6 linked regions of the Oryzias latipes genome follow. The protein of the gene in region 6 interacts with the protein of the main gene of each other region in a pairwise test. Links are inferred from orthologs where the notes say so. Each region holds a gene or a part of one and is shown on either strand. Other genes may lie near its edges.

What was found.
Region 1: the proteins of dual specificity protein kinase CLK2 (region 6) and prpf38a interact in binary tests that used the Homo sapiens proteins (3 or more experiments, as listed by UniProt). The link is inferred for Oryzias latipes from reciprocal best matches to the Homo sapiens genes CLK2 and PRPF38A.
Region 2: the proteins of dual specificity protein kinase CLK2 (region 6) and snip1 interact in binary tests that used the Homo sapiens proteins (3 or more experiments, as listed by UniProt). The two-hybrid records come from large-scale screens. The link is inferred for Oryzias latipes from reciprocal best matches to the Homo sapiens genes CLK2 and SNIP1.
Region 3: the proteins of dual specificity protein kinase CLK2 (region 6) and srrm1 interact in binary tests that used the Homo sapiens proteins (3 or more experiments, as listed by UniProt). The two-hybrid records come from large-scale screens. The link is inferred for Oryzias latipes from reciprocal best matches to the Homo sapiens genes CLK2 and SRRM1.
Region 4: the proteins of dual specificity protein kinase CLK2 (region 6) and ythdc1 interact in binary tests that used the Homo sapiens proteins (3 or more experiments, as listed by UniProt). The two-hybrid records come from large-scale screens. The link is inferred for Oryzias latipes from reciprocal best matches to the Homo sapiens genes CLK2 and YTHDC1.
Region 5: the proteins of dual specificity protein kinase CLK2 (region 6) and ece1 interact in binary tests that used the Homo sapiens proteins (3 or more experiments, as listed by UniProt). The two-hybrid records come from large-scale screens. The link is inferred for Oryzias latipes from reciprocal best matches to the Homo sapiens genes CLK2 and ECE1.

The regions. Positions count from the first base shown.
Region 1 is NC_019862.2:23,722,707-23,727,244, forward strand, and holds part of prpf38a (pre-mRNA-splicing factor 38A), read right to left. Parts: intron 4,142-4,538; coding exon 4,020-4,141; intron 3,766-4,019; coding exon 3,680-3,765; intron 2,579-3,679; coding exon 2,468-2,578; intron 2,378-2,467; coding exon 2,271-2,377; intron 1-2,270. UniProt on the Homo sapiens protein: Involved in pre-mRNA splicing as a component of the spliceosome.
Region 2 is NC_019874.2:23,603,452-23,609,167, forward strand, and holds the start of snip1 (smad nuclear-interacting protein 1), read right to left. Parts: upstream 3,263-5,716; 5' UTR 3,135-3,262; coding exon of another isoform or gene 3,064-3,134; 5' UTR 2,959-3,063; coding exon 2,819-2,958; intron 1-2,818. Other genes in the region: dnali1 (axonemal dynein light intermediate polypeptide 1), read left to right, coding at 3,386-3,466, 3,673-3,785, 4,337-4,506, 4,604-4,782. UniProt on the Homo sapiens protein: Required for pre-mRNA splicing as component of the spliceosome. As a component of the minor spliceosome, involved in the splicing of U12-type introns in pre-mRNAs. Down-regulates NF-kappa-B signaling by competing with RELA for CREBBP/EP300 binding.
Region 3 is NC_019880.2:16,872,616-16,878,355, forward strand, and holds the start of srrm1 (serine/arginine repetitive matrix protein 1), read left to right. Parts: upstream 1-2,390; 5' UTR 2,391-2,500; coding exon 2,501-2,521; intron 2,522-3,338; coding exon 3,339-3,428; intron 3,429-5,740. UniProt on the Homo sapiens protein: Part of pre- and post-splicing multiprotein mRNP complexes. As a component of the minor spliceosome, involved in the splicing of U12-type introns in pre-mRNAs. Involved in numerous pre-mRNA processing events.
Region 4 is NC_019870.2:83,415-87,614, forward strand, and holds part of ythdc1 (YTH domain-containing protein 1), read right to left. Parts: intron 3,850-4,200; coding exon 3,787-3,849; intron 3,711-3,786; coding exon 3,616-3,710; intron 3,489-3,615; coding exon 3,380-3,488; intron 3,307-3,379; coding exon 3,189-3,306; intron 1,863-3,188; coding exon 1,778-1,862; intron 1,693-1,777; coding exon 1,538-1,692; exon of another isoform or gene 538-1,537; intron 161-537; coding exon 81-160; exon of another isoform or gene 44-80; intron 1-43. UniProt on the Homo sapiens protein: Regulator of alternative splicing that specifically recognizes and binds N6-methyladenosine (m6A)-containing RNAs.
Region 5 is NC_019863.2:31,114,150-31,119,164, reverse strand, and holds part of ece1 (endothelin-converting enzyme 1), read left to right. Parts: intron 1-178; coding exon 179-317; intron 318-2,586; coding exon 2,587-2,799; intron 2,800-2,892; coding exon 2,893-3,017; intron 3,018-3,090; coding exon 3,091-3,237; intron 3,238-5,015. UniProt on the Homo sapiens protein: Converts big endothelin-1 to endothelin-1.
Region 6 is NC_019869.2:6,674,167-6,679,976, forward strand, and holds the start of dual specificity protein kinase CLK2, read right to left. Parts: upstream 3,747-5,810; 5' UTR 3,591-3,746; intron 2,572-3,590; coding exon 2,384-2,571; intron 2,281-2,383; coding exon 2,007-2,280; intron 1,893-2,006; coding exon 1,881-1,892; intron 1,105-1,880; coding exon 1,014-1,104; intron 336-1,013; coding exon 269-335; intron 1-268. Other genes in the region: histone-lysine N-methyltransferase SETDB1-B, read right to left, coding at 4,891-4,992, 5,515-5,705. UniProt on the Homo sapiens protein: Dual specificity kinase acting on both serine/threonine and tyrosine-containing substrates. Phosphorylates serine- and arginine-rich (SR) proteins of the spliceosomal complex.

The sequences.
Region 1 (4,538 bases), on a different chromosome or scaffold from region 6:
ACGATCTTTTATATTATTAACTCCTCAGAGTTTTATCAGGGCCTGTTTGGATGAACAGAGAGCTGAAATCCTGGAGATGGGAAATGTTTTTAGATCAGTTAATGAGGGGAATTTCCCACGGCACACTTGACCATCTTCCACGGCACACTAGTGTGCCGCAGCACACTGGTTGAAAAACACTGTTCTAGGTATTTCATGAACAACTTGGTGACATATTTCAACGTGTATCTTTTTCCATTCTTCAAGAAGAACCTCTTTTACAGCCTGGATGCTGGATGGAGAGTGATGCTCAACTTGTTCTTCAGAATTCCTTACTTGGGTTCAGATCAGGAGACATCCTTGACCAGCGTTCAAAACCGGTTGTCCGAGACAACCAGATTTCAAGGAGGACAACCAAAATGAACCTGATGGTTGTCCGTGTGACAACCTGGTCTTTTATTCAACATTTTGGTATTTTTCGACTATTTTTCAAGTTTCACGGGTTAGTTTTTGGTAACCTCTGAATTGAGACGTATGCAGCTAATTCTTTCCACCGACAAACGAAGTGCATGCATCATGCTAACGAATCCTTTCTGTTTCTACATGTGCACTTTTCAATAAAGATTTTTCAAATAGAAGTGTTGAACAACAGTACCTGGCGCGACCGCTAGAGGTCTCCAAAAACACGCAAAAAGATTTAAAACACATTCATAAACACTATAACTTTCACTCATAACAGAACAGACTGACATGAGCTGGAAAAAAAAACTTTTTCCATGGGATTGATATAATATTCTAAATTTTTTACAACAGTTTTGGTATTTTATATTCTTTAAGGAACAATTATCAAAAACCAAAGAAAAAAATAACCAATATATTTAAATCTGTGTAAAGATACTAGTTATAAAGATATTGGTTTCAAGTTTTTGGCAATACTTTGTGTAACCAGATGCTTCAGTATTTAGTAAAATGTTTGTTTTTAATTTTAAAGAGTTTTTTAAATGTCCATCATAAGAGGCAGTTAATATTAGATGTATAGAAGAAATAAAGATGTAAGTACTGACATCTGAGTAGGTTTAGTTGCTGTTGAATTCATTGGTATCGAAGGAAAACCAAAAATTGGGGAGGACAACCAAGTTTACTTGCCTCGGACAACCATTTTTTCCCCCTTATTTCTAACACTGTTGGCCATCCAATCACCTTCACCCTGTTCTTCCGAAATGCAGCAGTAGCTTCAGGAGTGTGTTTTGGATCATTGTTGTGTTGGAAAAGTGCTCCTTGACCAAGTGCATAAAGTGATGGCAGCATCTTCTCCTTTAGTATAGAGCAGTACATTGTTGAGTTCATGATGCCATCAATGAAATGCAGCTCCCCGACACCAGCAGCCCCACATCAGCACACTGCCACCACCATGTTTCACTGTAGGCACCATGCATTTTTCTTTGAAATTCTCACTTCAGCAACACCATAGTTTTAAAACCATTAGTTCCAAAAAGGGGGATCTTTGTCTCATCACTTCAGAGTATTGAGGCCTTTATCTTTTTTAGCTAATTCTAGACGTGCTTTTTTGTGCACGGGCTTTGGGAAAGGCTTCTTTCGTGGACAATAACCATGCGTGCCATTCCTCTGCAGCGTGCGCCGGATGGTGTCACGGGAAACGGTCACTCCAGTTTGGCGTTCTACTGCTTTAGCTAACTGCAGTGAACTACAGTGGCGATTTTCTTCAACCTTTCTCATCAGAAGACGCTCCTGTTCAGATGTTAGCTTCTGTTGACGGCCTGGACGTCTCTGTAAGATGGTTGCACTTCCATCTTTCTTAAATTTTTAGATTACGATCCAAAAAGCCCTTCCCATTTCATGCTGTCTCCGATAGCTACCCATGGAAAAGAAATGTCACAATATCTGAGAAAGGACAGGCTTTTCTTTGGTTAAATGCTCTTTTCTAGCCACCTCTGTGCTGTACACGTCTTAAATGAATCAGTAGACTCACTTGTGGTTGAATGCCTGATAATTAGAATTCTGTAGTCTTAAGTTTGGCTTTTCTCCTAAGACTCTGACTGGGGTGTACTCCTTTTTACAACGTGGGCGTGACCTAATTTGTTAGGTCAAAAAACAAAAACACACGTTTTTGTGTGCAACTTAAAATATCTGGTTTGCAATCAATGGTCCACCTGTGTAGAAAAATGTTAATTCCAAAAGAACACTGAAGGTTTTCGGACAAATGTAGTGGGGTGTCCTCATTTATGCTGAGCACTGTACATGAACGACATAAGATCTGAGACAACACCCACCGTCTGGGTGAGCGGCTGCGTCTGTAACGTGGCGACGGTGAGCGGCGAGGTCTGTCGTTGTCACGGTAACTCCGCCTGTGAGGTTCGGGGGAGTGCAGTCGCTCTGGCTGTGGGCACGGAAAGCAAACACGGAGTTATAACTCCTGCAATGATATTCGGCCAAACCAAGAGATCAACACATCATCAAAGGCCGTTACCTTTTCGTCCTCCTCATCTTCTTCCTCACTGCTTTCCACTTCATCCAGGTCTTCCTCCAAAGCGCTGACCCGAGGGTCCAGCATCTCTGCCTCCTCCAGGACCTGCCTCCTCTGTGACACACAGGAAAGGATACGATGACTTTATGGAGGAAAGGGGTCACTTGTTTGTTTTTACTCAAAAATTCTCAAAGACAAAACTGTTGTTACATCTTTGTTCATTGTTATTTGTTACTGGATTGGCCGTCACGGGACATACGGCATGACACACAAGCGCCATTACTACACATTGAGTCTTCACTTGTTTGGTGAAGAAACGACGAGGTCCAAAGTCCGCAAAGAATTACAAACGGGGACACGATGTATTGCAATGAACCACAAAAATGATGACAACAAAATAATTTATTACAAAATAATAAAGGAAACACATTTCAAAGGTTAGTGCTCGCATTTTAATAGAGAGAAATCAGGCTGGGAAGCGTGAGGTGCAAGTAGCATTGATGTTTATTTTTAATCAATGTTTGATTATTTTATCTTTTAATTTATTGTTTGTGTGTTAGCCTGGGGGCGGTGCTGGCAGTGCAGACTCTTCCTGCCCCTTCGACTGTTCTCCACTTAATGATGTCACAATGTGAGGACCCGCTCGTTTTCGTGGGTTAGGAGGCGCCGGTGCTCAGAATGCAGATTTTTAGAGGAATACCCAGAAATGCGTAAACGGATCAAAACACCGCTTTGGGGTTTATAGTGAGAAATAAACATTACAATACACTTAAAAGCTCAAAAACCTGATTTTGAATGGTGTAAGCCTTTTAATGAAAAACAAAATCCAAATGGTTACGAATATGATTTGAAACCGATTAAAGTAAATATAAAAACACAAAAAAATTCCTCTTTCAGACACATTTCTCGGTAACTGTGTAGAAAAACTATTTGCCCTAATTTCATTTCTATCCAATGCTTTCCCCATGAACTAAAACATAAATTTGAGACAGACTACAGAGCTTTCGGAAAATATAGACACCCCCCCCAAAAAAAACTGGTCCAGTAGCTTCAATAAAATGTATAACTGACAGTTTTTTTCTTTTAAAGATTACAAATTTAAAATGCACTATTTAAAAGATAAAACAAGTATGACATTCTAAATCTACAACTGATAGTTGTACATTACTGTACAACCAATTATGAGTCAAAGGGGGCTTCTGGGAAGTTACCCACCTGAAGTCGAGGAAGGATGATGTCACACACTCTCTCTGCGTGAAGAAGTTCATCTATGAACTCGTCGACGTGCATCAGCTCAAACTCTGCATCAAAAACCAGAAAAATCCATCAACCTAACAGAGCTTCATGAAGGCTTACATGTGTCACTCCTTGTCCAGGTCTGGATCCACATGTCAGAGTCCGCTCAAAGGAGGAAGATGCATGAAAGCTCAGTGTGAGTCCAAAAGCATGTGGGAGGAGCAGCAAGGGAGCTTCCATGTTGGAAACCTGATCTTTTTCTGTATGCAAGCCAAAAAATGAATAAAGATGAGAAAGATTCTAATCTTCTGTGTCTTACCTCCATTTCTGTTCTGGGTCTTAATCTTTCTGTAGTCATTGTACAGCGGTTCCAGGTATTTGTAGCAGTCCACGGCGGTGCCGGTCAACCGCATGTACATGGCTCCAAGAAGACGGACATATCTGACAGACGTGACACCAAACGGTTATGAAAAAAATCGGAAAAAAAGCTAGAAAGAATTTTTTTGGTCTCTGGTCATTTTCATCTGTTACCATATCTTCAGGGGTTTGAAAAAGACACATTACAGCACAAAATTTTTCATTAAAAGTGAGAATTAGAGGAAACAAGGTATTTTACTGTTAATTTTATTCCATGTTTATTTGCTTTGTTTATCTCTTTGTATTCCATATTTTTTAATTTGCATCTAGGCTCATCTTTTATGGTCTTTGTCCCTTTTAAGAAGCTTAAATGCATGAATTACAACAACAACAAAAATCAGCATTTGCTTAAGAATTCGTTGATTAGCTTAATTTATGAATATTAGACAGGTTGTTTTCTACTTGACATTTCATAACACAG
Region 2 (5,716 bases), on a different chromosome or scaffold from region 6:
AGCTGGTATCCATCATGGATAATCCTGAGCATCCTCTCCATCCTGTACTTGACCGTCAGCGGAGCTCCTTCTCCAATAGGCCAAGGCAGCTTCGCTGTCACACCAACCGCTTCAGGAGATCTTTCATACCTCACTCCATTGGACTCTATAACTTGTCATCCATGTGCAATAGATAAACTCATTTAAGGTCTGTCTGTTTTTCTCTCCTGATGGGTCACACAATACAACTGTTCTTTTTCACTGATGTTTCTTTCTGATTAAAGGCTGCAGGATTTACGTCAAACCGCTCGGTCCAGAGGACCGATCCAAGGTTCTGGTTGTGAACACCATGAAGGACTTTGAGAAGTGTTTGATCACGGTCGTCTGAAACAACATGGAGTAATAAACCAAAGAGCCAAATAATTTCAAGAAATATGACACGTGGATTCCCCACTTTCTCTGTATGTCTGACGTCACCTGAATAACAGCAGAGAGTTCTGACCTGCAGACAACTTGACCTCAACTTTCACCGTCGCTGATATCAGCTGAAGAAGGATATGGACCTGAATCTAATGTCTGCAGTCATAACATCGAAGAGAACTATAAACTCTGTTTTGAACCCAGAAGTACGGCTGTTATCAGTTAAAGAAGAAAGACCAACCTTGGACAATCGACAGTTATGGACCCTTTTTACTTTCCCCCTACAGCATTACTTTATTATAAAAAAAATAATAATAAAAATACAAAAAAAATATTTAAAAAAGTAAAACAAATGATTAATGACTTATTGAAAATTGTTAAATTGATTGCCTTTTAATGATTTTATTTCACTTTCTCCAAAAATTGATAAATTGATTCAAAAATCTTTCCTAATGTAGCATAATTTTGCACATGTTTTTAACTTTTGATACTTGATGAAATTTTGCTATGAAAATTCCTGAAACAGTGTTGTGTCTACTTTACTGATATAGTATTATGTTTTATTCATATGAATGGCTTTTATAAGTAACATAATCTGCATATATTTCAGATGACTGATCTGCATTTGCCATGTTGATTTCTAAAATAGTTATTTTTGACGTAATACTTAAGTAATTCATCTTTGTCATGTGCTTTATCGATATCTTATGATTTTTAATTCTGTATGATATAAACTGGGAACCGGATATTGATAAATCATGTAATAAAATGGTTACAGTATAACGGGGTGGGATTATATAAATTCGCTTCCTTCCACTCCCTTTCAAGCAATATTTATTAATATGTATAATTATCCTAAGTTTGATTAGTTACTGTATGAATGTATAACTGATGATTATATTGCTGTTGTGTATTATTTCTACTTAATTGCTTGAAATAAACCATTTCAAATAAAAAAATAAATAAAATTGTTCTGGTTCTCTGTTGTCATCTATTGTTTGTATGTTTGTACCTTGAGCCTAACGCCGACGCTGCATCAACCCAATTTCCCAAGCTGGGATCAATAAAGTATATTTATCTTAAGATCATTTTGTAAGTGATATTCTTGATTCAAATGGAGAAATTCTTCAGTTAAGAGACTTCAAAGGTAAATATGATATTGAATGCTCAACCGAGGAATTTCAGAAAACCTGCTGAGCAATTCCAATTGCTTCAATACATTTAATAAAAAATACAATATTGTCTTCCTATGTTCAAATTAAACTACCAAATTTAGTAATAGGAGAAATAAAATTTAGTGAAAAAAAACGTGATAATAAATTGCTAAACAAATCCTTTAGAGGTAAATTATACCATGACTTTAACAGAAAAGTGAAATATAAAATAACTGAGACACCTGTCACATCAGATGCTCAACTATGGAAATTCATAAAATGGCCAGTGGTTCCCAAAATTAAAGAAATGCAGTTCAAAATTATAAACAATTATTACCCATCGGCAGAGACATTGAGAAGTAGATTTGGCTTTGAGGTTGATCCGTGTGATTTCTGTCAGGTAACCCCAGAAACAACCCAACACCTGTTTTTTTCATGTCCAGACCAGTGAAAGATTCTGGCAAGATTTTCATAATTGGCTTAGTCAAAAAATTAACAACATACAATTCACAGAAAAACATATTTTGTTTTAAAACAGTAAGTTGCCAAAAGAGCCAACAAATAGTGAACATCCTCCTGATTTTGGGAAAATATATTCATAAGCAAAAGTGGAAAAAAGATCGGCCGAATTTCCTGTGTTTTAAAAATGAAGTCAGATTGTATTTATCCTCATTGAAATGTATTCACAACTCAAATTCTTTCATTGATGACATTTGTAAATCTGCTACAGAATGGTTACAAATCTAGGGTCCAGATTGTTGATTGCCTTGTATTTTAATTTATGCTGATAGTTTTTTTTATATATGTATACATTCTTGTTTTTTTTTTATCTTTGTTTTTCGTGAAGAGCTGTGCCTTGCATCATTGTGTTGTTGTGTCTGCCAGAGTTTTGTAATGAGTATATTTCAATAAAAAAAAAAATTAAAGCAAATTTTATGTCTCTAGTCTAACCTTGATTTATCAGCAAGACGGTAATAAAATATCTTAGAACAATAAACAAGATTTACTTGATACGAGTCAGATACTTATACTACTTTTGACACAAACGTGTTAAGGATTATTTGATTTACAGAAACCTCAGATCAAAACTCTTTTGGAGCAACCGGGTATCCCTTACGTTAAGTGTTTATTCCGTAACCGTCAAAAATGAAAACCGGAAGCTAGATTTTCATCAGCGAAAGTACAACAAAAAAATAATGTTGTGAATTGTTTTATATTTAGACAGTTTTACGTCATGAATCGTAGTAAAACCTTCAGACATTTACCTGCTAGCTCGTCTCCCCTGTGGACTGCGTGATCTGTGTGGCCTGCTAGTGCTACTCGGGCTCAGTTTCTCCTGCTTTATCTTCACTTCGGGCTGCCGTTCTGGAGACTCCCTTCTTCTGTCTCGCTTTTCTTTAGTCATTTTAGTTTATTTTTCCAATAAATTTGAGCTCAATTCAACCAAAACACGACACAGTAGCTAGACAAAGACAAGCCAAGATAAAAAATAAAACCTTTGATGCGTTACCAAACTTCTGGCGTTGTGAAAACAAACTTCCGTTTCCGGTGACTCAAATTAATCCCCTCGACGTGCTCCATGTGCTCCCTATTGTTGGTTCCGCCATGGCCTAATTCGTTTTAAATGGGGAAAACGTGATGTTCAAGTTTTTTTTGTCATAGACTGAAGCATTGATGACACATATACGTGTCGTATTACATAAAAAGTATTCTTAAATGAAACTTTGTTCAAATCAATATTATTTTATTTTGAAAAAGTGTCGCCATGACAACACAAACAGTGAAACGGTATTTCTAACAAAACGTGTAACTTGCTCTCTCACCTCAAAACGATGACTTCTTTTGGCGAGTCCCTCTTGAAATACGATAATCCGATATTGGTAAAAACAAAAGGAGATAAAAAATCTCAAAAGGTAAGTCTTGATGGTTAATGATCTATTTAACTGGCGCCCAGAAACTATATCAATTAAGGCTAGAAATCTCATTGTACTTCCATAATTTCTTTATTGTGGACAATGAAAGGCTACCAAATAAAATCTTCAAAAATAATAAAAGAAATTACAAAAAAATAATAATACAAATAAATGTACAATTTTCCCCCCTTTTTTTTCGTTAATAGGGACGTACTCTAACGTTGAGCAACCTTCCAGCTCCCAGCTTTGCAGCAGGTGTTCCATCTCCCCCTACACAGAATTTGGATGAAAACATTTTGCATGCCATCTTACCACCTAGGTAAAAGAAAACCTCAAAAGCTCACCTAAGCACAACGATTCAGATTTATTTATTCTAGATTCATTATTATTTATTCTTCTTCCTAAGTTATGCAGACAAACATAGACTGTGGCATGCACCAGAGCACAATGACCATCCTCAACTTTTATTTCTCAAAAGTCAAATCTGGGAAATCAAATAAAATCAGGCTTTTTTTTTGTAAAACAGATGCTTTTCATGCCATGTAACTCAAAAAACTTTAAACAACACAGTGGAACAGCTACAGTTGGAACAAATGTAGTTTTTATGTGATCCAAAGATCACCAACAAATCCTAATGTCTAACAAGGAAAAGAGGAAAGGTCCTGTAGCTCAGTGAATGTCCAACTTTCATCAACTTAAAAAGATCAAGTCTTGACAGCAAATATTGCCCACAGGTGCATTATCACACATACGTCTGCTTTTTACTTAATTCAAAAATAAAAAGCTGACACACAATCTAAGATCCCGAAAGCATCCAAAAGTTACTGTCAAATGATTTTCCAAGTAAATTCTGATTTCTTACCATTACAGAGAATGGACAGAGGGGGACCAACAGTGGGTGCAGAAAGTATCTACAGCCATTACCACGAGGAAAGATGTCATTCATCTGCAGGAGCAGCTGAACATAAAGCTAAAGCAGAAAAAGGCCAAACCAACTGGCATCTGCCCCATCCGCTGGGTTCTGTTTTCCCAGTGTTTCGGTAAGACAGCGGAGGGTCGGGACAAAGCTCATCTCCGAGTAAAAATGTGGATAGTTATGAAATATAAATGTATTATGCATCTTATTTCCTTTTTGAGATGAACTCATCAGACAGGTAACCATTGAATGTGCGGAGAGAGGTCTGCTGTTGTGCCGGGTCAGAAATGAGATGCAGATGATGATAAGAGCCTACCAAAACTTGTCTGAGAGCAGCATTGCTTTTGGGATGAGGAAATCACTGCACGGTGAGCAGGGCAAGGAAGAAACACAGAAAAAAGTAAGTTTTTTTCCCGTGTTAGTCATAAAAAAAACCTGAAAAACTCCCATTAAGTTTATGAAAAAAATGATTTATCTTAACTGAAGCAAATAATTACGTTAGATCAAAGTAAAAAAGTTTATCTTTCCAACATCCATATGTGGTCTTATCACCCTCTCATGGTGGAAAAAGTATTATCTGAGCTTTTTCATCCACTAAATCATCTTCAAATGGACACGCCATGCTGCTTCACCTCTCTGTAAACAAACTAAGCTTCAACTAAACCTGCTCCGGACCAGGTTATGTTCAGAGCATGAGTTGCCATGGTAACTTGACCTACCCTGAAACATACCTCCATTTCTGGAACCGAAAGCTGAGGTTATCAACTTTCTTAGCCTCAAACTTATCGTGGGAGCTAGCATAACCTGCTTTCTGGAATACCCCCCTGGAACCTGAGGCTCTCGAGATGCTGTACAAACGCCTATTTTATCCCCCCACTGTGGATCCTTTATTTGAATTGATATTCCATCAATTTAAACAAATAGGTTATTATTTTTGGTTCATTTGTTTTAGTTGATTAGGTTTTGACATTTCTTTTTTTTTATTTTTAACATGCCAAATTACTGAGCATCATGATGGTAAACAATCAACTTTCAGAGTTGTTTATTATTAGAATAAGCTTAAAGCGCATCTTCTCAAGTTGATGTGCAGAGGCAAATCTCCTAAATTTGAATCTACATGTTTAAATATATTGTTGGAATTTACTGAACGCCAATGTTGTCATTTTTATATTTGAGGGTGAAAGGAGAAAAAGGATGACGAGGCACCAAATCCAAAAAGATATAAAATGTCAAGTATGACTTTCTTACATTGTAAAATCAAGCAGATTTACAGCAGCAGGAGGAGGATTTTATTTGGCACAGGATCTATTTGATTTTGAAAGGAAACTATCAAA
Region 3 (5,740 bases), on a different chromosome or scaffold from region 6:
ATGGTTTAAGCACCACTTCACACATGGCAGCTTTGCTTTAAATGGAGCAGAACTATTCCTATTTCTTAAGCTTCTACTATTTCCAAATGTCACAGTTGCATGGATGGGAGCAACAACCTGTTGCAGTGTCTCTGACAGTGTCCAACACACGATGAATTAGTTGAACACATGTACCACTTCATTTCAGGATCCGCTGGACTGACTGGATCTCTCAACTCTGGGCAGGGGCGACACATTTGGTATTCCTGCCATCTTATAAAGCAGATTTTTTGTAATATATCCTATGAAGTGAAAAGTACATATTTTATACATCACTACAACTTTGGTTGTTGTATATGAGAATAACTCTTCATTTAACTTGTATTCCATCCGTGTGACTTTTGATATGAATTATGATAAATATAAATATAACAAATAAAAATAGAAATAAATAAAATAGAGTTTGGAAAATATACAATATAATGTTTAAAATAATGCAGTGGACACTGACAAATAAAAAGGCTATTTATCCAAAAAAAAAGGCTTTTTTTTCTTTAAAAAGGAAAGTTTCTTTTTAATGCTTTTTCTGACCAAAAAAACAAGAAGAAACAGCAGAAAAATAATTTTAAATGCAAGTACCGTTAAAAAGTAGTGCAAAGTAGTACTCAAAATGGTTTGATGTATTTCTGCAAGATGAGTTAATCTGGAAAAACTATGTTTTTTTTTATAAAGGGAATAAAAATGACTGTACGTTGTTTTCAGTTGTGTGTTGTTTTCAGTTATGATAAATGAAATCTATCATGCCATCGGATATGAATTTGGGAAGGCATTATTTGCAGATGACGGAGCCTTGTGGAGGAGGGGACGGAATATTCGTTATGTAAAGAGAAAGGTGCAAGACGCAGTTACGGAGGTGGAAAACTGATCCTATGATTGGGGCTTCAGATTTTCAGTGGCTAAAACAAAATGCATGTTTTTTACTGGAAAACGGCAAACTGTTATAGACTTAAAACTATATGGAAAAGTATTGGAGCAAGTGCACAGCTTTAGATATGGGAGAACCGCCATTGAATCTCAGATCTAAACAACTGCTGGTCACTTACTGGGTGAATATACATTTTACAGTGCAGTAGAAGAACACATAATTAGAAGTGCTCCCTGTTGGGAGAGTTGTAGGGGGAAAACAAAAGTGTTGCTTGGAAATTATCTATATGGAGAGAGTAACAAAGATTTATGATAGGACCCAGTTAAGACGTTTTTGTACCACTCCTTTCTGGGTTTTTCCAACCGTACAAGTTGATTTTTATCTCCATATGAAGATGGATGTTAGCAAAGGGAATTGGGATGAAATCACAGCAGACAGGTTGAATACGGTTCATGCTTCACTCATTCCCAGATGGATCTGAAGATTCAGTAACAAAGAGGACAGTTTTTTCTTTCTGTATCCCAAAATTAGGAAAGTATGTCGGAATTAAGCCATCAAAGGATCTTTGCGTTTTTGCTGTTGAAATGTTGGCAATATCATTTAGTTTACGCATGTTAGAGCAGAAAAGAATTGGTGATGGTGTAATGTCTTTGAAATCTTTTTCTTCCGACAGCAGGTCAGATCTAATGTATGAGATTTGAGATTGTGTCGAGACTGGAGAAATGGAATATCGGTATCAGAATTATGTGGGTACCAGCACATGGGGGTGGAATAAAAACTGATTTTCTGGCAAAGCGGGCATTGAAACAGGGTGTGTAGATAGAATTTCCATTGGGAAGAACAGAAGTTAGGACAATTATGAGGAGGTGTGTTATGGAAGACTGGCAGAAACAATGTGAAAGATAGAGGAAAGGACGACATATATTTAATATACAACAAAAGGTAGGGAAAGGTGCATCTTAAGTCAAACACTAGAGATCAAATCATTATATCATGATTGAGGATGGGACACACTGCTTTAAATAATACATTACATTTACTGGGGAAACATCCACACTGGTCTCTGTGATTGTGGGAAAGGGGAAGAATCAGTGGAGCACATTTTGTGTTACTGAGAATTGTATGGGGAAGAAAGAAAGCACGTGGAGGATGGAGTACGGTTGCCGGAGGCAGAGCGGCTGAGTTTGAGGAGGCTTTTGGAAGGGGAGCATAATTTCAATTGAGTTGTTATTGGATTTTTTAAGAGAACTAGACTGTTGAGGACAATGTGTTTTTTTTAATAGACTAGGACCTAGTCTAGGACCAAATCTATTAAGTGGTCTATTAAGTCTATTAGTGTATTAAGTATATTAGTGTACTAAGTCTATTATACTAGTCTATTAAGTCCGACTCACACTCCAACGCAGTAGTTGGCGGTAATGAGCCTTGGCGTTGGTGCCTCCCGCCATTTGAACCACAAGAAGAAGACTGTAAATTGAGTGCAGTACCCATCTTTTCCGGACGAGGCGCTATCTTCATCCGGCTCTCCCTTCAGATTTCACCGAAGCCTTGCAAGTCTTTTTCAACCGCTCCTGAAACGATTCATTTTCCCCGATAATGGACGCGGGATTTTTCCGCGTAAGTGGAGTAAACTTATTTCTGACAGTAGCAACCGTCTTGCTGAATTGTATATTGATCTGATATGTGCCTTAAATGCTACGCATTATTATAGGCAGAGAGGGACATTCGGCTAGATTTGGCACGCTTAGTCAGGGCTTCGTCTATCAACTGGTGCGAAAATAAGCATTGGTTCTCCTTTGAGGTTTTTATTCTAAACTAAGCCGTAGAAACAATTTGCAATGACACACTACATATCGACGCCTTTTTGATCTAATAATGTAATATTATTATGTTGGTGTATTTTAAAACCTGATATTCATCTGCTGTCAAGTTATCAGGAATTAGGCCAGACACAACTAGCAAGCCACAGCTAACTTGTTGGCCTTCTCCGAAGATGGCGCCTAACCGGTGCGTCCCGAAAGAGTCACGGTTGTCATTATATGAACTTTAGCCAACAGTCATTTGGCTTCTTACTGTTTTGTTAAACACATAACGATGTAATTCCGGAATTTTTCTATACCAGAGACGGTAAATGTGTCTCTTTGGTTAGCCACGAGGACTTCAGAGGACAGTTAGCTTAGCAAAAGCTAATTTATGCGTATCAACGATATGACCCAGATTCACGAGCTCAGATTACTACCACAGCGTCGAGCCCCCCTTTTCCACTGTTGTAAACGAATAATTTTGAACGAGGCAAATTTGTGTTTATTAGCCTAAAATGTTTGTTGACTAAACGGTGCTTTAAACGTTTTCTGGACAAGATTCCTACATGCATGGTGTATCATGTATTTTACATTTTGTCTTATTAAAACCTTGCTGGTTCATTATTCCAAAGGGTACAAGTGCGGAGCAAGACAACCGTTTCAGCAACAAGCAGAAGAAACTGCTGAAGCAGCTGAAATTTGCAGAATGTCTGGACAAGAAGGTATTTTTTTGTTATATCAGAATATGATGTGTTTTGATTGTACATTACATATCTTCAAAACTTCTAGTTTTGAAAGTTTGAAAATGGAACTTTTATTTTGGTTGTACTGATAAATCTCAGCTATTCCTGCTGTCTCAACTGGTCTCAAAGGTACATGTCTGCAATAATAATAAAATATATAAAATAACATTGAAATGTTAGAATTTAAAAAGGTTTTTAACTTGGTTAGGTTTTTAATTATTACAAACTTGTTTACTGTTTTAATAAAGTGTCCATGTCACAATAGATGGCCTTCTTGGTTCCACTTGTGATAACTCAGTTGGCTTAGTTTAGCCAATAAGAACCAACTATTGCAAACTTTGACACACCCATGATGAACAGAGTAGTTAACGTTAACTGCTGGTTCACTGGCTGCATGGGAACATTAAAATGTAAAAACAGCCTGCCTGGAGAAAAGTCATGTCTTGACTGGGAGGACATAGTTGGGGAGGGAAATGTTTGGAGCTTGCTCCACCTCTTTTTACTATGATCATGTAATAGCCTGTAAAATGGGCATTAAAGACCCACTCCAAGGAAAATTGTTTTTTAACACGTTCCTGTGGCATTTTTATCATGTTGGAGGACCCATAGAAAGAAAATTCATCTTCAAATGGCATTTCTGGTTCATCGGTTGTGCCGATGGTGTCTCTCCATGGAGATGTCACCATCGTGATGCCACGCCCCCGCCACGCTGCGAGTCGACACCATAAGCCGCGGTTACATGTGCAAAATATCTTGATCGGATCAATGGTCGGATTAGAATTCAACCGTGTACGTGGGCCCAGAAAAACATTTCTGATTACAACAAACGTTCACATGGTCACACTTTCATTTGGAATAAATCCTTCGCACATGCGCAGTAGTGTTTGAAATACCGGAAGAGGAAATGAGTTCCGCTGAGAGGCTACATACATAGATATCCGGCAGCTCGGTAATATACGAGATATCCTCCAAACGTGCTTTTATTAATGTTAGGGTTATTATGAAGCGCCTGTTTGCTCATCATTTTAATTTAAATCTGTGTGGTCAGTGCTTTTTTCTGTTGAAGAACGAAGCTGGAAAAAGCCAGGACTAAGAGAGGCTAACACGCGCTAACAACATTAGCCTTGTTTGATGAACATAAAATCCATGCGGGAAACGCTGCAATCTGCATCTTGGCTGCACGTAAATATGTGGGCATAACATCAGCCTTTACTTTGTCGGGACACGACTGGAAACCCAAATCCACGTGATTGTTTGAACGGTTTCTAAGGACTGAGCGACATTTCTGCTTTGAAAAGCTCACACACCGCCCCAAAGCCGCTATGTGAGCTGATGGTCCGAGCTCTGGACCGGACACACACTTTAGACCCGGTTCTCCTGATTCCGGTAGCTTGTTCACCTAGAACTGTGGGACAGATCGCAGTCCGAAGTCTCCCACACATAGCGCACACGTAACAAAGCATCCTCCCATCAAACACAAAGTCCGTCTCCTCAGAGACACGGTCGCTCGGTCCACTTGACTAATCAAGTGCAGGAGCGGACTACTTATTTTCTATTTTGTTTGTTAAAGTCACTTCCCTCAGTTTATACTGGATCATCGCGGATGAGTCATTAGTTGGGAAATAAAATAAATGAAGTAATAAAGTGAAATAATGAATAATAACTATATAATAATGAAAAATTAAAAATCCCCCGGCGATATCATCGTCCATCCCGATGGTTTACTGCAAACATCGTCAACGACCAATTTAAGGGACATCGATCAACCCTAATCAGGAGCAGAATAAAAGAATGCTGTTTGGAAAAGCTTGTAGGTGTGACAGAAGATCCAATGGCAGGATACAAGTTCTCTGCTGCGCTCCATTCTGATGTGTCCATTTGTGGACAACTAGAATCGTGTACGTCTCTTGTCTTCGTCGTCTGAGCTGGCATCTGGCTCAAAACTGTACGACTGGATAGCTCCAATATTGCTCGGCATTTTGGTTGCACAACTAATGTTAGGTTGGGGTTGTGAGGGGCTGTAAGCTCGCAGCAAAGCACGCAGATGGATGACGGGAAGATGTGAGGGTTACTCAGCACCAACAGTCCCGTCCACAACATGGAAGCACATTTCAATGAACTAATACTATGAATTATGTACTAGAAAACAATAAGACTATTATTTATTATTATTAATGCATTAATTCTGGCTATAAACAACACAATCATAATGAAAAGACCACTGGAAACATGTTTACATAAGATAAAAAGATGATCAAAGTAGGACTTTAAATTCTATTCTAAGTCTTAAA
Region 4 (4,200 bases), on a different chromosome or scaffold from region 6:
AGCGTGCACGTGGATGTGAGCCACAGCACAGTGAAAGTCACTCAGGTGTGTAAAATAATCAAAACCTCCAGGTGAACAACCTGCTCGTTGTACAAAGTCCGGTAGGCCGTCGGCTCGCGGTCGCTTCCTGCTGTGGATGTCGTACTCTTCCAGCCGACGCCTACGTGAATAAGTCCACAGGTAAGACACTTGCTCGTGCGCGCTCACACGTGCACTCACAGACACGTGTTCGTATGCACGAGACAAAACCTTCTGAAGGACGAAGCAGCATGAGCAGATCAGACCGGTGACCTCCGTGGTGGACCAGCACGGTTCTGGTTCAGGGCCTAAATGAGCCTGAGGTCTCACAGTGTTTGTTACCACGGCAACAAATCACACAGACCTGGAAACCAGGACCTGAAGAACCCCAGTGACACTGATCCTGCTTCGTCTGACAGAGTGTGGCCATCCAGAGGTTGCAGCACGCACGCACGCACGCACACACACACACACACACACACACTAATGCAAACACACGTCTGTGAAGGAACAACATACCGCTTCTGTCGTCTATGAAGGAGGGGCAACACTTTTTACACAAACAGTTTTTCTCCTCATCAGTCCACTTAAGTGCTTTTTAACCCCTCTTATTTTGAAAGGGTGAGGAGATGATGATGATGATGATGAAGTTCTGTCAAGCAACATAAATTCCCACTCCCATCAGCCCCTCCCTCCCTTCTCAGACTAGCAGTCCAAGACAAAAAAACTGTCCATTCCTTTCCACGCCTTCCTTCTCGTTAGCTCCACCCACCCTCCCATTCAGGGCCAGAGACCCCGCCCACAAAACAGTCCGTCCTTAACAACCTGGCTCGGAGTCCTCATTCTCTGCGTGTGCCAGGGGGGTGGGTAGGGGTGCGAGGAAGCATGGGGGGTGGGGGGCAACAGTGTCCTCTTGATGTAGGGCGGGGGGGGGGGGGGAACACCATTAGTCCAAGAAGTTCTTTTTTTTATTCATTTGTCCTTTATTTACCTCAAGAGGTGGGTACCCTGGCCCCAACAGTCCTCAGGCCCCACCCCCTGCCCCCCTTACCTGTTCCCCCTTCTCACACGGAATCCAGTCCCTTACTCTCGTTTTGCTTTAGCTCTACCTTGCACGTCCTCCCCTCACCATCAGTCCGGCCAGTGGTGCTCTTATTTTGAAAAGCCGAGCCAGTCCCACTAAAGCTGAATGGTTTTTAACTCCAAAGCACCAAACTCCTGCAAAGACAGAGAGCTTGACAGGACGTTTACGCCAGCGGAAGACTTCCCCTCAGAACTGATCAGAACTCAACCAGACGGGTTGCTGCTACGGCAAACACCACAAATAAACCTGCATCAGACGTTAACGTTACTTCCTGCCTGACCGTCAGCCTCCAACCAGACGCAGAGGGGCGCAGCGACCAACCACCACCTGAGCGCCGCCAGGTAAAGGTCGCCGTTGTATCCATGGTCCGGCAGCGGGTGGCACCGTGGTTGCAGCAGTACAGGATGCGGGGGAGGAGCTTGATGATTGGCTAACCTTCCCGGTTCTCTCAGTGGCGGTCGGCCTCGGGGCCGCGGCTCCGTCGGTGTCCTGCGTTTGTGCCGAATGCGGCGAGACACCTGATGAACATCCACACTCTCGTCCAATGGAAACAGTCCACAGAGTTGAGCGCCGACGTCCGGCTGGATCTCCTAAAAAAAGTCGAAGTAGGATGAGTCCGAATGAAAAAGCTGCAGAAGCACAACCTCCTGAAGCGGGACGCCACGGTGGGCAGACCTGTCCATCTCGTCCAATTTTGATCGGCTTGTGCTCGTTCCATGGGTTGGAGAGGTGGGCCGTCTTGATGAAGGGCAGCTCCCTCCTGTGGGCGACAGAAGCAAGTTCAGCAGTGGTCTCAGCCAGTTCCCACAGTGGGTAACCGCCACCAGAACCGCAAGTTGGAGTATCACAATTCAATGTACTCTGTGCTCTAACGGGAAGACTGCCAGAACCATGAGGATTCTGGGGTTGCGCGTATTTTTCAGGTGTCGTCCAACTATCTGGTCTACAACCACCTTGAGCCAGTGAACATTGGTCTCAGACAGAGGATAAACCATGAGCACAACCGTTCTCACCACAGCCGTGGGCAGGTTCTGCCACAGGCAGACGCCTTGGCGGCGTTGGACCGGGCTTCTACAAGCCCCATCTACTGAGAATGTTCTGGAACTGGCTATTTCAGGAGGTCACTACCTCCAGAACAGCTGTGTACCCGTACAACTGATCAAACAACCAAAGCACTGCTCACCTAGAGTCCTACTGTTAAATACAACCGGATCTACACCACGCGAACTGTCCAGAGTGATCATAACTGCCACCAAATGCTAATGTTAGCTTAGCCCTCGCCATCCTTCTCAAGCAGAAGTCCATGCTGGCACCATGCACGTCCCTGATTCTGACCAAGCCCACTTAAAACTGCTCTCCCAGTCACCAGGGTTCCACCAACACCCCACATGCTGTCTGGCTGCCCCCTTCAGGAATGCCCCACCACCCACTGATTCCAGCTGACCCCTCACAAGCTCTATCCATCACTGTCCCACCTCCAGGGCCGCTCCACACGGTCGGATCACGGTGCTGCTGTCCCAGCATAGACCAGCACAGCTGCCTGTCTGGTCCTAATCACCATTTACACATGCAAGCTAGGAGGATGAGGCACTAAAGTTTGGTCAACCAAACAACACCTGATTTAAAACCACGGTCCCCACTAAGCAGATGGAGAGCTCAACAAGCGTCACAGAAGTTGGCCAACAGGTGGCGCCACAGCTGGATTCCTGACCTTTAACAGCATCAGGGGGCTGTAAAGACATTTGGGTTCGTCAGTGTCCTCTTTACCCTTTTCTCCACTGCACTGACAATGAAGGCATCCTGAAAGAAGTATTCAATCCATTTTCTGTTTTTTTTTACAAAAAGTTAACTATTTGGTGTGTAGTGCAGGCCGTTGTCATGGTAACAGCTGAGCCAGCACACTGATCATTCCATGATGAAGATTAAGTTTGTTTTAAAGAAGCCAGCGCAGCGATACAGGACATTTAAGATATGTGACCGGAACTACTTTTTAAGCGTGCATTATCACTTTTAAGATGGGATAGACGACTGTGGTGGAACCTCTGAAACTTTCAAGCCAGCAGACTGAGAACCGAGGAACGTTTACCTGCAGAGCCAGTCGATTTTAAAGACTCCTCCCAGCATCTTAGCATTAATGCCGGCAGGAAGCACCCAATGGATGGGAGAGCCGCCATGTTGAGACTCTGAGGCCAGCCGAGCAAAACCTGGAGAGAACAGCAACGATAAACGAGACGGCAGGCAGACGAGGACGGCAGTCATCAGCTTTTCTGGCTTCACCTTGAAATTTTCCGCTTTCCCTCACAGAGAAGATGAGGATGACGCTCCGCGCCGAGCGAAACGCCGCGTTCAGCTTCTTCTCGTTGACCGGTAACGTGGACCAGACTCCCTGCACATGACAGACACAAAGATCAGCACGCTAACAAGAAACCCAACACCTCTGAAAGCTAGCAAACAGAAGACGGACACCGAGGCAGAGATGGCATCCCAACAGAACATGAGAAAGACAGACTCACTTTGGCTTTAGCCAGGGACACGTTCTCGTGGTTATTGCTCTTGATGAGGAAAAAGCGAGCGTCACGCAGGATGTAGCGCAGCTTGCTGGTGGGATCTGAAACGCAGAGAGCAGCTGGACGTGAGGGTCCGGCTTTGGACGCGCTTCCCGTCCTGTTTGGAGGGGTTCTTACTTTCCACGCCTTTACGAACGGCTCGCACAGACGACGACAGCTTCTCCTGCTTCTTATCGGAACCTGTCAAAATAAAAGAACAAAAAGAGCCTGTTATGGTGACATGTTCACGCGTGCTCCTTGACATGCGTGAAGAACAAGTGTGTCAGTGTGCAAAGAGTTCAGCTTCATCGCATCATTTATTCAGATCTGTTTCTTGAAAAGCAAGAATGGTTTTGAAAAAAATCTGCTTTCCGTTTGATCACAAATGAAAGCCACACCCCTTAACCCTGAATGACACACGACTTGACATATCGTAACTCTGTTAACGCGATTAACACGGATCAGCTGACTCCGACGCAGAGACGGCGACTTTTCACCGACATCCAAAGAGTTGCATGACGGCGCAAAGCCGCTGTTCTCTGCTGGGATGTA
Region 5 (5,015 bases), on a different chromosome or scaffold from region 6:
GGATTGGGATGCAGTTACGAGAGAACCATTGTTCTCCAAAACCTGTCGCCAAATTCAGAGGCTTTCACCGTATTTCCCTTTTAAAGACTGAAAGGATTAAATTCCTGCATTTGGAGGCTCGTGTTGATGCGTTTCTGCTTTTTAACATTTGTCCGGCGTGTCGTTTGTGTGGGAGCAGGTGAGCCTTCTGCAGGGCCGGGGGTCTCCATGCTGGCCGGACAAGTCACCGAGGGAGAGGAGGCTGCTGCTGTCAGTCTGCGTGCTGTCGGTGGTCCTCTTTGTGTCGCTCATCTGTGCGGGAGTTTTCTACAAAAACGGTGAGCTCACGGCCCCGATCTTTATCTTTGGTGCCAGAAACGTCTAAAGCCTTAAACATCCTTTTGGGTCGGGAGCTGATTGTTTTCTGCTGTTGAAAAACCGTCAGATTTACATTTCAGGATGGCTCGTTTATTGGAATTGCATTTATTTACAGTGGCATATATTTTATTTAAAAACAGTCAAACAAGATAAGAACTGTATTTTATTTTAGTTCTCCTGATAGACATTAGCAACACTCATTTGTCTCCGCAAGAACACATCTGTGTGCTTTTGATGAAAACAGATCATAAATCCATATATTAAGTGGCACCTCATCCTTAGCTTTACTCACTGGTTTGTTCTTCTTCATTTACACGTCTAAGTCCTCCACCAATTAGTATGAAAAATGAGGATTTCCTTTTTTCAATCAAACAAATGATCTTGAATTAATGGACTTTCTAAAGCACGAGTGTCAAACTCCAGGCCTCGGGGTCCAAATCCTACCCTCTTGTTGACTAAACACACCTGATCCAGGTAATCAGCAGCAGGTGGGGCTGAAGAGCCAGTAGGCTGTCGGCTGTCGAAGCCTCGAGTCCAACAGTCCTGACTACAACCAGGTGGCGTGGTAAAGTTACAAAAATCGAATAGTTTTACAAATAAATGTACGTAGATTTGAATAAAGAAATACTCAGAAATCTAGATTTTCTTCATATCTGTCCTCCATCATCAGAAAAATGCTACAAGAACATGTTAAAATCACCAAAAACACCACTTTCGTTGACCGGGATCTTTAACACTTGACTTTGTGGAGTCAGCTCCTCCTCCTCAGTCCAAAGTGTGTTTCCTTTTGCATCCGCAGCCTTCCAGGTTTCCTAAATGTCATGCTAGCGAGAACCTGGGGTTAGGGAGACGCGTGCACACAAGAAGCCTAGCTTCTGCATCAACAAAGTTCCCATGCAGGAAGGTTTGCAGGTTATTACAGCTTCGTCCTTTTACGCTGATCTCTTCAGCTTGTCCTTTCTGCTAGAAGCTAAGTTATGAGTTCAAGCAGCCTAATGTGTTTTTAGAGAAGGTTAAGAAACCTGGTCAATTTGAAAAAGCCTACAAGAACGTTAAACACAAGATTTCTGTCAGGAAAACATGTGCATCAGTCTTTAAAAGAGCGAAGCGGTTGGAGGAAAGATGCTGCAGGACAATCCTTACATAACAAGATAAATATACTTTATTAGTCCCATGACCTATTGTCTTGTGTTTTCTTGTGTTATTCTAGGAAGAAATAAAGGAAAGATTAAAAAAAATGAAGAAAACAAATTGCTATTGTAGGAATAAATAGGTCACTAAATACCTTTATTTCAACCTAAATGAGGCCAAACCAAATGAAAGTGTTTGAATATAGCCTTTGGTTTGACACAAATATAAAAAATATATAATGGCTCCTTTTTAATGTCGTTTCTGTCCAAATGTATTCATAAAATAACTTGTTTGGGGGATTAGAAAGGAGAAATATGTACCAAGACTAGATTAAATTGATTAATTACAACCTATTTTAATTATTTTTTGTTATTTTGGCAAATAAATTACTGAAAGTTTTTTCAATTTTTTACTGCTGTTTGTTCAAACAGCATTGGAACCATTTGTACTTTTTGTTTTAAAAACTCCACCTTTGACTGAACTTTAACAGAGCGACCATGAGGTTCCTCCCCGAGCGTGTTCTTTATGGGAAGCGTTCCGTGGATTTACCACCACATCCTGGCAGCTTCTCATCAGCGACCGTTTCCTCACAGAGTACCACTTCCTTCCATTCAGCATCGCATGTCACATCACACTTTGAAATAATAAAAGGAACAAGGATGAAGGTCCTCTGGGACAGGCTGTTCTCATCCTTGCTCGTGACTTTTCCTAATGTCTGTTCTGTGCCAAGCGTGGACAGACTGTTCTGTTGTGGAGATAGATCGCTGAGAACACCTCTTTACACAGTCCTGAGGAATTTGGATGGGTTCACCCAAAGTCTGAGCTCCTTTTTTGATGATTAAACAGGTGGAAGCGTCTGCTGGTGATATTTCACGTCTATCGTGGCTCTTTTGTTTTCCTTGAACCATCTATTTAGAAAGGATTTTTACAGAGGCGGCTTTTCCCTTGTGCATCCTGGCTTACATGATTCTTTCCAGATGCTCTGAAAACCCTCGTGCATATTTGAGCTTCCCATGAAATATTTTTCTGATTCTCAGCCGTGTTTTTTTTTCCAGCCTCCGGCAGAACCTTAACGTTGCTTTTCGCCCACCCCGACAGGTCACCCGGGCTCGTGCCTGACGGGACCGTGTATCACCGTGGCCGGCGCGGTCATGGGCGCCCTGGACAGATCTGTGGACCCCTGCCATGACTTCTACAACTTTGCTTGTGGGGGGTGGGTGAAGAACAACCCACTACCTGAGGGGAAATCCCGGTGGGGTCCTTTTAGCAACCTGTGGGAGCACAATATGCTTGTAATGAAGCATTTATTAGGTAAGAGGCAGGATCTGAGCCTTTGGGGTAACGTGAACATTCATCTGTGGTGTCCTCTGCTTTTTTATTGATTTGATGCTTTAATTTGGGCAGAAAACACAACGATGAAGGGTTTGAGTAAAGCTGAAGAAAAGGCTCAGCGATATTATCAGGCCTGCATGAACGAGTCCAAGATTGAGGAGTTAGGAGCCAAGCCTCTCCAGCAGCTGATCAGCCATGTATGTTTGTTGAAACGCCGTCTGTCATGTCGGCTGTGCTCTGGAGGAATCACGGTCTGCTGCTCTCCTGCAGTTAGGCGGCTGGGCTCTGAATGGACCCTGGGACAAGGACAACTTCCAGGAGGTCCTGCGAAAAGTGTCGGGCAGCCTACGCACGTCGCCTTTCTTCACGGTCTTCGTTAGCACGGACTCCAAGAACTCCAACAGCAACGTTATCCAGGTATGAAGATTCGGTTGTGGATTTGGTCGGTCAGACGTTCTTGTTTAGGTCTGAGAGGGTTCATGTTGAACCTCTTCCCACCGGTTTTCACGGGATCCTCCATGGGTTTTTTGAGGTCTGTGGTTATTGCTGGCGTCCTGCGCTCATTCTAACGGTTTGAAGAGGATTCTGTCCCACAGCCGTCCTGGACTGACGCACCAGATTGTTTTTAGCAATTCTTCTTTCTTACTTCGCCTTTTGGGTAAAAATTTAAGAATGCACCAAAGTTTGCACACCGCTAGTACCCGGTGAAAATGAATTTGTGGATAGTAAACAACACACACACCCCAAAAAACAACAAAATTGATGACATCACAGCAGGAAAAACCATCCACAAAAAAAATGAACGGGACAGAAATCTCTTATGGGGCTCAAAAAACTACTTCAAAATCCACAAATGAAACCAAAACACAGGTTTGGGGATATCCAAAGGAAATTTTAAAATTATTGTGGGATAGTCACAGAAACTACGGTCTGGCGGCCGTTATTTGCCACATTGCCAAATTTTTACATTTTCCCATAATATGAGAAAAGAAAACTTCCTTTCTTCACACTCAATGGGTCTTCACAAAGTTTCACACATATACGCCACCAGGTTAAGTCTACATCCACTAACAAGTCATAGTAGTAGGTTTAAAGGTTGTCATCTGGACTCAGTTTTTATAGTTAGAAGACGTTTCACCTCTTATCCAAAAGGCTTTGTCAATTCTAAATCAGCTGGTAAAAGAGCTGGTTTATATGCGCTCATGGGGGAGGAGTCAGACCTGAAACTGGATGGTATTGTCAACTCGAGTCCTTTGTCCTCAGCTGGGGTTGGGGAGACAGTGGCTACCCTCCCCAACCTGGTCATCTCTTTCAGCTGTTAATGACCCAGGTGAAACCGGTTCGGTTTGTTTGGGTTTCAGGACACTGCTGTAGATGGATGGAAGAATAAACCTGAGACCATCATTCTTATTGAAAGAAGGTTTATCCTTCTTGACAAAGATGGCTTCTTTCACTCCTCGCTCAAACCATCCTTTCTCTCTGGCTAAAAGAGAAACTTTTAAAACTAACTTTAAAAACTAAGTCCAGATGACAACCTTTAAACCTACTACTATGATGGAATCTACCTGGATGAATGAGAGTCTTCTTAGAGAAGAAAAAAAAATCACCTTTAGTATCGCGAATGAATTTAAACTCCACCCCGGAATTTTGTTCTATCACCTCTTAACTCCTCGTGCATCATTGGGATGCTGCATGGAAAAAACGTTGGTTCTATTAATGAAGATGGCGTGGTGAATAATTTTTTACAAGGATGTTGTGAAAATGTAACAAATAAATCCTTGGCTCAAGCTGAACCAAACAATATGAGATAGATATCAGTTAGTATTAGGAAGACAGGTGTGGTTAACAAAAAATCTCTGTTGCCAAGGAAATCCAAATGTATACTTTTGACTATCCTTGTAAAAATTACATAGACCTGTACGTCACCCCCAGGTGACCAAAAATTACAATGGTTGCTATGGAGATAAAAGCATATAGAAAAGTTGCCATTTGAAAAGGTGTTTGTTTTTAATGAATTTGCCACGTTTAGCTCTATGAGGGTGGGAGGGGCAGTCGGAGAGAGGGAGGGGTGAGTAGCCACTGCTCAGACAGTGAGTGCGGGTCAAAAGGAGGGCGGGGCCTATTTAAAACGTTACTTTTTTACTACTTTAAAACAAAAACAAACATTAGATAAGAACTGGAGTAAAGCATTTTAT
Region 6 (5,810 bases):
GTCCAGCTCTAATCAATAGGTTTAACACACTTAGATTCAGTTAAATGTATCCTTCCTGAGATAAATCTAAAGTTTTGGGGAATGTTTGGTGAATGTTTCCACTTTTCATCTAAAGTCTTGTAGTTTTGTCAACAGAAAACCAGATTTACTTCAGAATTTTGTAACAACAATAGCTCTAAAATCCACGACTGCCTCCATGGGCAAATGTTTTTTTAGTTTTTTTTTATGACAGAGAAGAAAAGACGGTCCAGGCTGAGCGGACCCTCACCTTCGATGGTCGATGCATTTCATCACCCTCCCAAAGGTGCCCTCCCCCAAAGTGCCGACGATCTCATCTGCAACACCACATGAGAGGAGGGGAAAGGAGGGGAAAGTGGGGCAAAAGAAGAAGAAAGGTGTTAGACGACCGCAAACGACAACGTATAGACAGACAGGCATGTCACTGATCGCCCATCCCAGTCTGAAGACAGCCGCCTACCCGGTCTAACGTTCTGATCCGTAATTAACAGAGGAGGCAGCCGTAAGGCACTCCACTCTTTAAATGACTAAATTTGAATCGTCGTGATGTTCTAAATGAATTTAAAAGTGTGATGTCAATGTGGTAAAGGCTAAAGTGTTGCTAAAGTGACAGTAAGTGTTGAATGCGAGCTGCTAAACTGTGTGGATTCCCTGTAAACAACAGACAAGCTGGGGTTGATAAGATGAAGCTCTGAGCTTCACAACTACAAGGTGAACTCTAGCGAAGTCGAGTAACCTGTGAAACGGAAAAATGCTCCACAGCCTAAGCGGCTAAAGTAGGGGGGGTGGGAGAAGAAAATAAAGCTATAGTCCATCTTAAATTGTTCAACATTTCTGCAGTCCACCCTGCTAATTCAGCAAGAGCGAAGAGCATTCTAGCAAGGCATCATCATCATCATCATCATCGTCATCAGGCACTCCTTGTGTCATGTAAATGCTCTATGCTGTAATACTCATATGGAGAAGGGTTACGATAGAGTAGTGGCAGTGAGTACATCTCTCTTGCAGGACGTCCCCACTCCGACAGATCAGGTGCCCTTCCTCGTCGTCCCTCACACTCAGTGCCCGCGTCCGGCTGTTGCTCCTCTGTTTTTTCACCCAGACCGCCATCAGCAGGTCACAACACGACCGGGGGGGGGGACGCGGGGGTTTCAGTGTTGGCACAGGTGGATGAGGAGGGAGGAGGAGGGTGGTGGTAGTAGTAGTAGGTGGATTTCGTGGTCATGGGGCGATTCACGCATGACAGCACGTGAAGGAAATAGATAACGATATAGTGCAAGGAAAGTAAAACATCATTTGTCGTCCTCTGCTCCTCTCCCCCCTCTACCTTCCAAACCATGACTGCTCACAAACAAAGAAGCATCTGGCATTTCCATTCATCATCTCAAACCAATAAAAACAGGCATTTATCAAAAAAAAAAACTTTTCAGACTGACATTCTGGAAGAACGATGGAAGAAAAAAGTTACTGAAGGAGACCAGCTCAAGCAGAAATACTTCCAAAAATGAACCACATCCATTTTTTTTTACCTAGGAGTTCCTCAAGTTAAACTACCTTAAAGGTGTGGTTTAATTAACAGAATAAAGAGAAAAAACAACTAAAAGGGCAAATTTGTTAAAGGCTACTTATGATTTTTGAAAGAACATTTTCACTTTTCTATGCAATCTTAGAAATCAACTACCACTACAAAATAAAAGTTGATTAGATGTTTAGGAATAAGAAACCTCCAAAATTTGGTCTAAGGAATGACTAAGATGTTATTGCCAAAAAATGAAAATGCCCTGAAAACGGAATGCCAATTTCTGCAAAAGTGTAATAAAAAAAAAACAGAACAAAATCAAATCATAAAATATACTACTTACCAATTCCACAAGCTGTAAAAAAAGGAACGGTTAGAGAAAGAGATAGACTAAAGGAAGAGAAGAAAGGTTGAAGAGGAGAAGATGAAGAAAGCGCTAAAGCACCGTCTCAGACATGGTCGTACTCACCGAGGAGGATTGGCTATAGGACCTGGTTTTACGCCGCCTTCGTTTGTGCTTACGCCTGCTGCCTTTCCTCTGGTAGGACCTTTCCCGCTCTTTCTCACGGCCGCGTCGGTAGTCGTACAAGTTGGGGGAGAATTCTCGTGGATAAAAGCTCTCAGCTGTGCCGTGGGGCTCCCGGTCCCGGTCTTGATCTCGGCTGGGATCGAGTCGTCGGTATCCTTCACAGTATCTTCGGTCGTACGGTCGATGCTCCATTGAGCGATTGTCATAGCTGCGACTGTACAAGACAAGTAAAAACACAAAGATTTGCATCAAAAAAGGAGATTCTTTTGAAATTTGGAGAGGAAAACCAACAAAAACTGCAGCTCTTGGAGACAAACCTCCTGGTTCTTCCATAGCTTCCGTTGGGTCTGTGTCCCCGCCCTCTTCGGTCACGCTCTCGGTCACTGCTGGATGAGTAGGTGGGTGATCTTCTGTACCTTTGTCTCCTTCCTCTGTCTCGGTAGCGGTCCGGGTAGCTGGTCCGACTGTCTCTGTCAGAAGACGAATACCGTCTTGTGTAAGGCATCTGCAGGAGTGAGAGAAAGAAAACCGATAAATCCACAGAAAAACCATCATCAGTCAAAACTGGACAAAGACTTATATTTTACATGTTGAATTATATGAAAAGATGAATAATCTTGGTATCAGATTTATGAGGAATCCCAAACATATATTTTAATCCAAGTGTAACTGGGTTGGGACGGCTTCCTCAGAGATAGCTGCATTGATTGAGAACATAAAAATGTGTCACGAGACCCCGCAGGAGCCACACGGCAAACCTGCAGGAGCAAGACTGCAATCCAAGCAGGAGCCAGACTGCATTTCTTCAGGAGCAAGACACTAACCCCGCAGGAGCCAGACTGCATTTCTTCAGGAGCAAGACCGAAATCCCCAGGAGCCAATCCTGGGGATTGCAGGAGCAACACTGCAACAACCCCAGAAGATCCAGACTGCAACCCCAGCTCCTGCGGGATTGCAGGAGCCAGAACTACAATCCCACAGGAGCAACACTGCAACATCAGAGGAGCCAGACTAAACCATCTGCACTAACTCCGAGCAGCAGAACCGCCTCCGTTAATAACAGACAGTTCATTTAAAAACTATCAACACTAAAAATCATAATACAGTGATAATGAAGAGCAGGACGCTCTGAGTTCCCGTATATTTAACAGCATTTCTATCAAGTTTGTTTGAACCTTTGCTAAACCAGATCGTTTAATTGACGGGGGAAAAAATCCGAGTCCTCCAAGTAACGTCTGAAACATGATTTGATTTGTTTACTCTTAAAAACGTTAAGATCGACAAAAAAATAACCACCGCACCCAAACCTGGTGATAAATGACACCAGAAAAAACGCGTTCTATATAAATTCAAGATATCGGTGTTTAGTTGGTAGCTACTCCATGCTAGCATCTTGCTAATGTAAATAACTAGACCGCCATCTTAGCTTAGCTGGATTTATCAGCTCCGTAACAGCAAGCTAATGTACAAACTGCCGTCAAACTTGGAAATAAATGACACGAAAGAAAGCTAGAAACTATTTACCGTTTTAGCAGCGAGGCCTGTGCGTTTATCCCATAAGAAATCCGTGGTGGCGATAATATTTCTCGGCAAAATTCTTGCTAGCCTGGTGCTCGGTTGGTGTCGTCCGCCTGAGGCCCGCGGCAGGCAGCGCAGCTTCTGCTTCAAATTGCTGCCGCTGGCCCCGCCTCCGCGCGCGAGGACGTCTCCTCTTTCCAAAATACTTCCATGACATTTTAGGAAACCGTAGTCCTTTCTAATCTGGGATTAAATCATACTTATCGAGATTAATATTGTTTTATTTCCATGGAAGCGAGTTTGCAATAGAATGAAACTTAAAGAAAAAGATTGGGCAACAAATTATCTAAATCTGGTCATTACATAAATACATTTGATTTTGAGGTAGTTTAAACTTTCACATCTGGCCACATTTTAAAAAATGTATTTATTTGTGGCTGCTGTTCCTTGTTGCTTCCCCAAAATGAACAATCAATATAAAAGTAAATTTAACGTAATTTAAAAATCCCAAAATAAATTTGTCCTCATGTTTTCCAGGTTTAAAATGTAATGAAAATCGTTATTTCCATCCAAAACACAGCAATTATTTAGATCTAAAGTAAGAATAATTCATTTTAATTAATGAAAGTTCCACATTTGCTCTTGTTTTATCTGTAAGTAAACTGTTTTCCAAACAAACGTGGTTTTAAATAAATAAAAACATTTAGTTTGAATGAAATCAAAAATGGATTTAAAAAGTTTGAGACCTTCACATTTTTTAATGTTTAAAAATAATGAAAACCATCTTTTGCGTCTTTAACACAAATACAGACCAGAATCAAAGGGATTTTTATAAATAATTGTAACAAGAACGGACGGTTTACTAATGAGAGGCTAACCAGTACATTAACATTTTCAAAACTATAACAATAAATTGGAATAAGATTAATAATTGCAGATTATTTGAATTTATTTTGATTTTTTTCATTTATTTTTTCAGTCATAAACAGCAGATGTTTTGCTTATAATCACATTTCAGGCTAAAAGAAGAACAAGCAGAAAAATAGACATTTTATTAAGACTAAAAACTACATTAAAGTAAGCATGAATCCATAATTAATGTAATACAAAGTGAACAAAAAGTGAAGTAAAGCAGCGTAATGTCCACAGATGCTTCAGATGTAGATTTTACTTTTAGAGACACTAAATAAAATCCATTCAACTGTTCACAAGGAAGTTCCTCGATAACAGCGCACCTCGACAATTAATGTCCTCCTTCTGCAACTTCTTTTCTGAAATAACTTCAGACACATGTTGATAAACACGATCAGGTTTTCTTCTTATTTTTGGACATCATCCAGCGCCTCAGTTTCAGCATGTGCTCCAGCCGTAAGGAGCCTCTGTAGATCCACTCTGTGTGCCCGTCACTCTGGGAAAGACCACACAAACCACAAAAGCTCACAAAAAAAAGGAACCACACAAAGATAACACTAGAAACTAGAAAGATCTGCATTTCCAGAAGAAAATGCAGGTTTGAATGCTATATTGCTGAATGAAAATAAAATTTAAAGGCTAATAATTGGAAAAATAATTCATAAAAAAGAAGGAAATCATCAAAGTTGACCATAAATAAAGTGAAAACAGCACAATAATCATAAAAGATATTTTTGTGAAAAATGCCAGAGCCGGGTCTCGAACCAGCGAGCTTCTGCACCAAGGATTCTCCATGTATTTCAATGGAGGCAAAAATCCTGGAAATACTGGAATATCTTGAAAAGTTCAAGGATTTGAAGGACCAAAAGTCATAGCTGGAAAAAGCTGAAAGAGCCGAACATTTTAATAGTTGAATGGTTAAAATAGCTGAAAAATGGAAGGAGTTAAGCAGCAAAAAAAAGGCGGAAGATACTATAATACAGAAAGAGAAACAGGAAAACAATGAGGGGGTGCAAACCTGGAAAACGACTTTCAACAAGCTACTGTCGATGAGCAGAACCTTGCAGTCCTGCTGGGTTCCCCGATGTTCTGCCTTCATGACCTCCCCAACCTTGTACTGGCTCTGGGGGGGGAAAGGCCAATCCTGCAAGTACTGCTTCATGAAAGTCCAGTGATCCTTGTCCTGAATGTCATCCAACGGGTCTTCCACTGTCACAGGAATGGGATAATAAAGTTTTTATTGGGATCACAACAGAAACAGAGATGTGAATTCCAGGGGAAAAAAAAAAAAAAGAGACATGTTATCGCTAAATT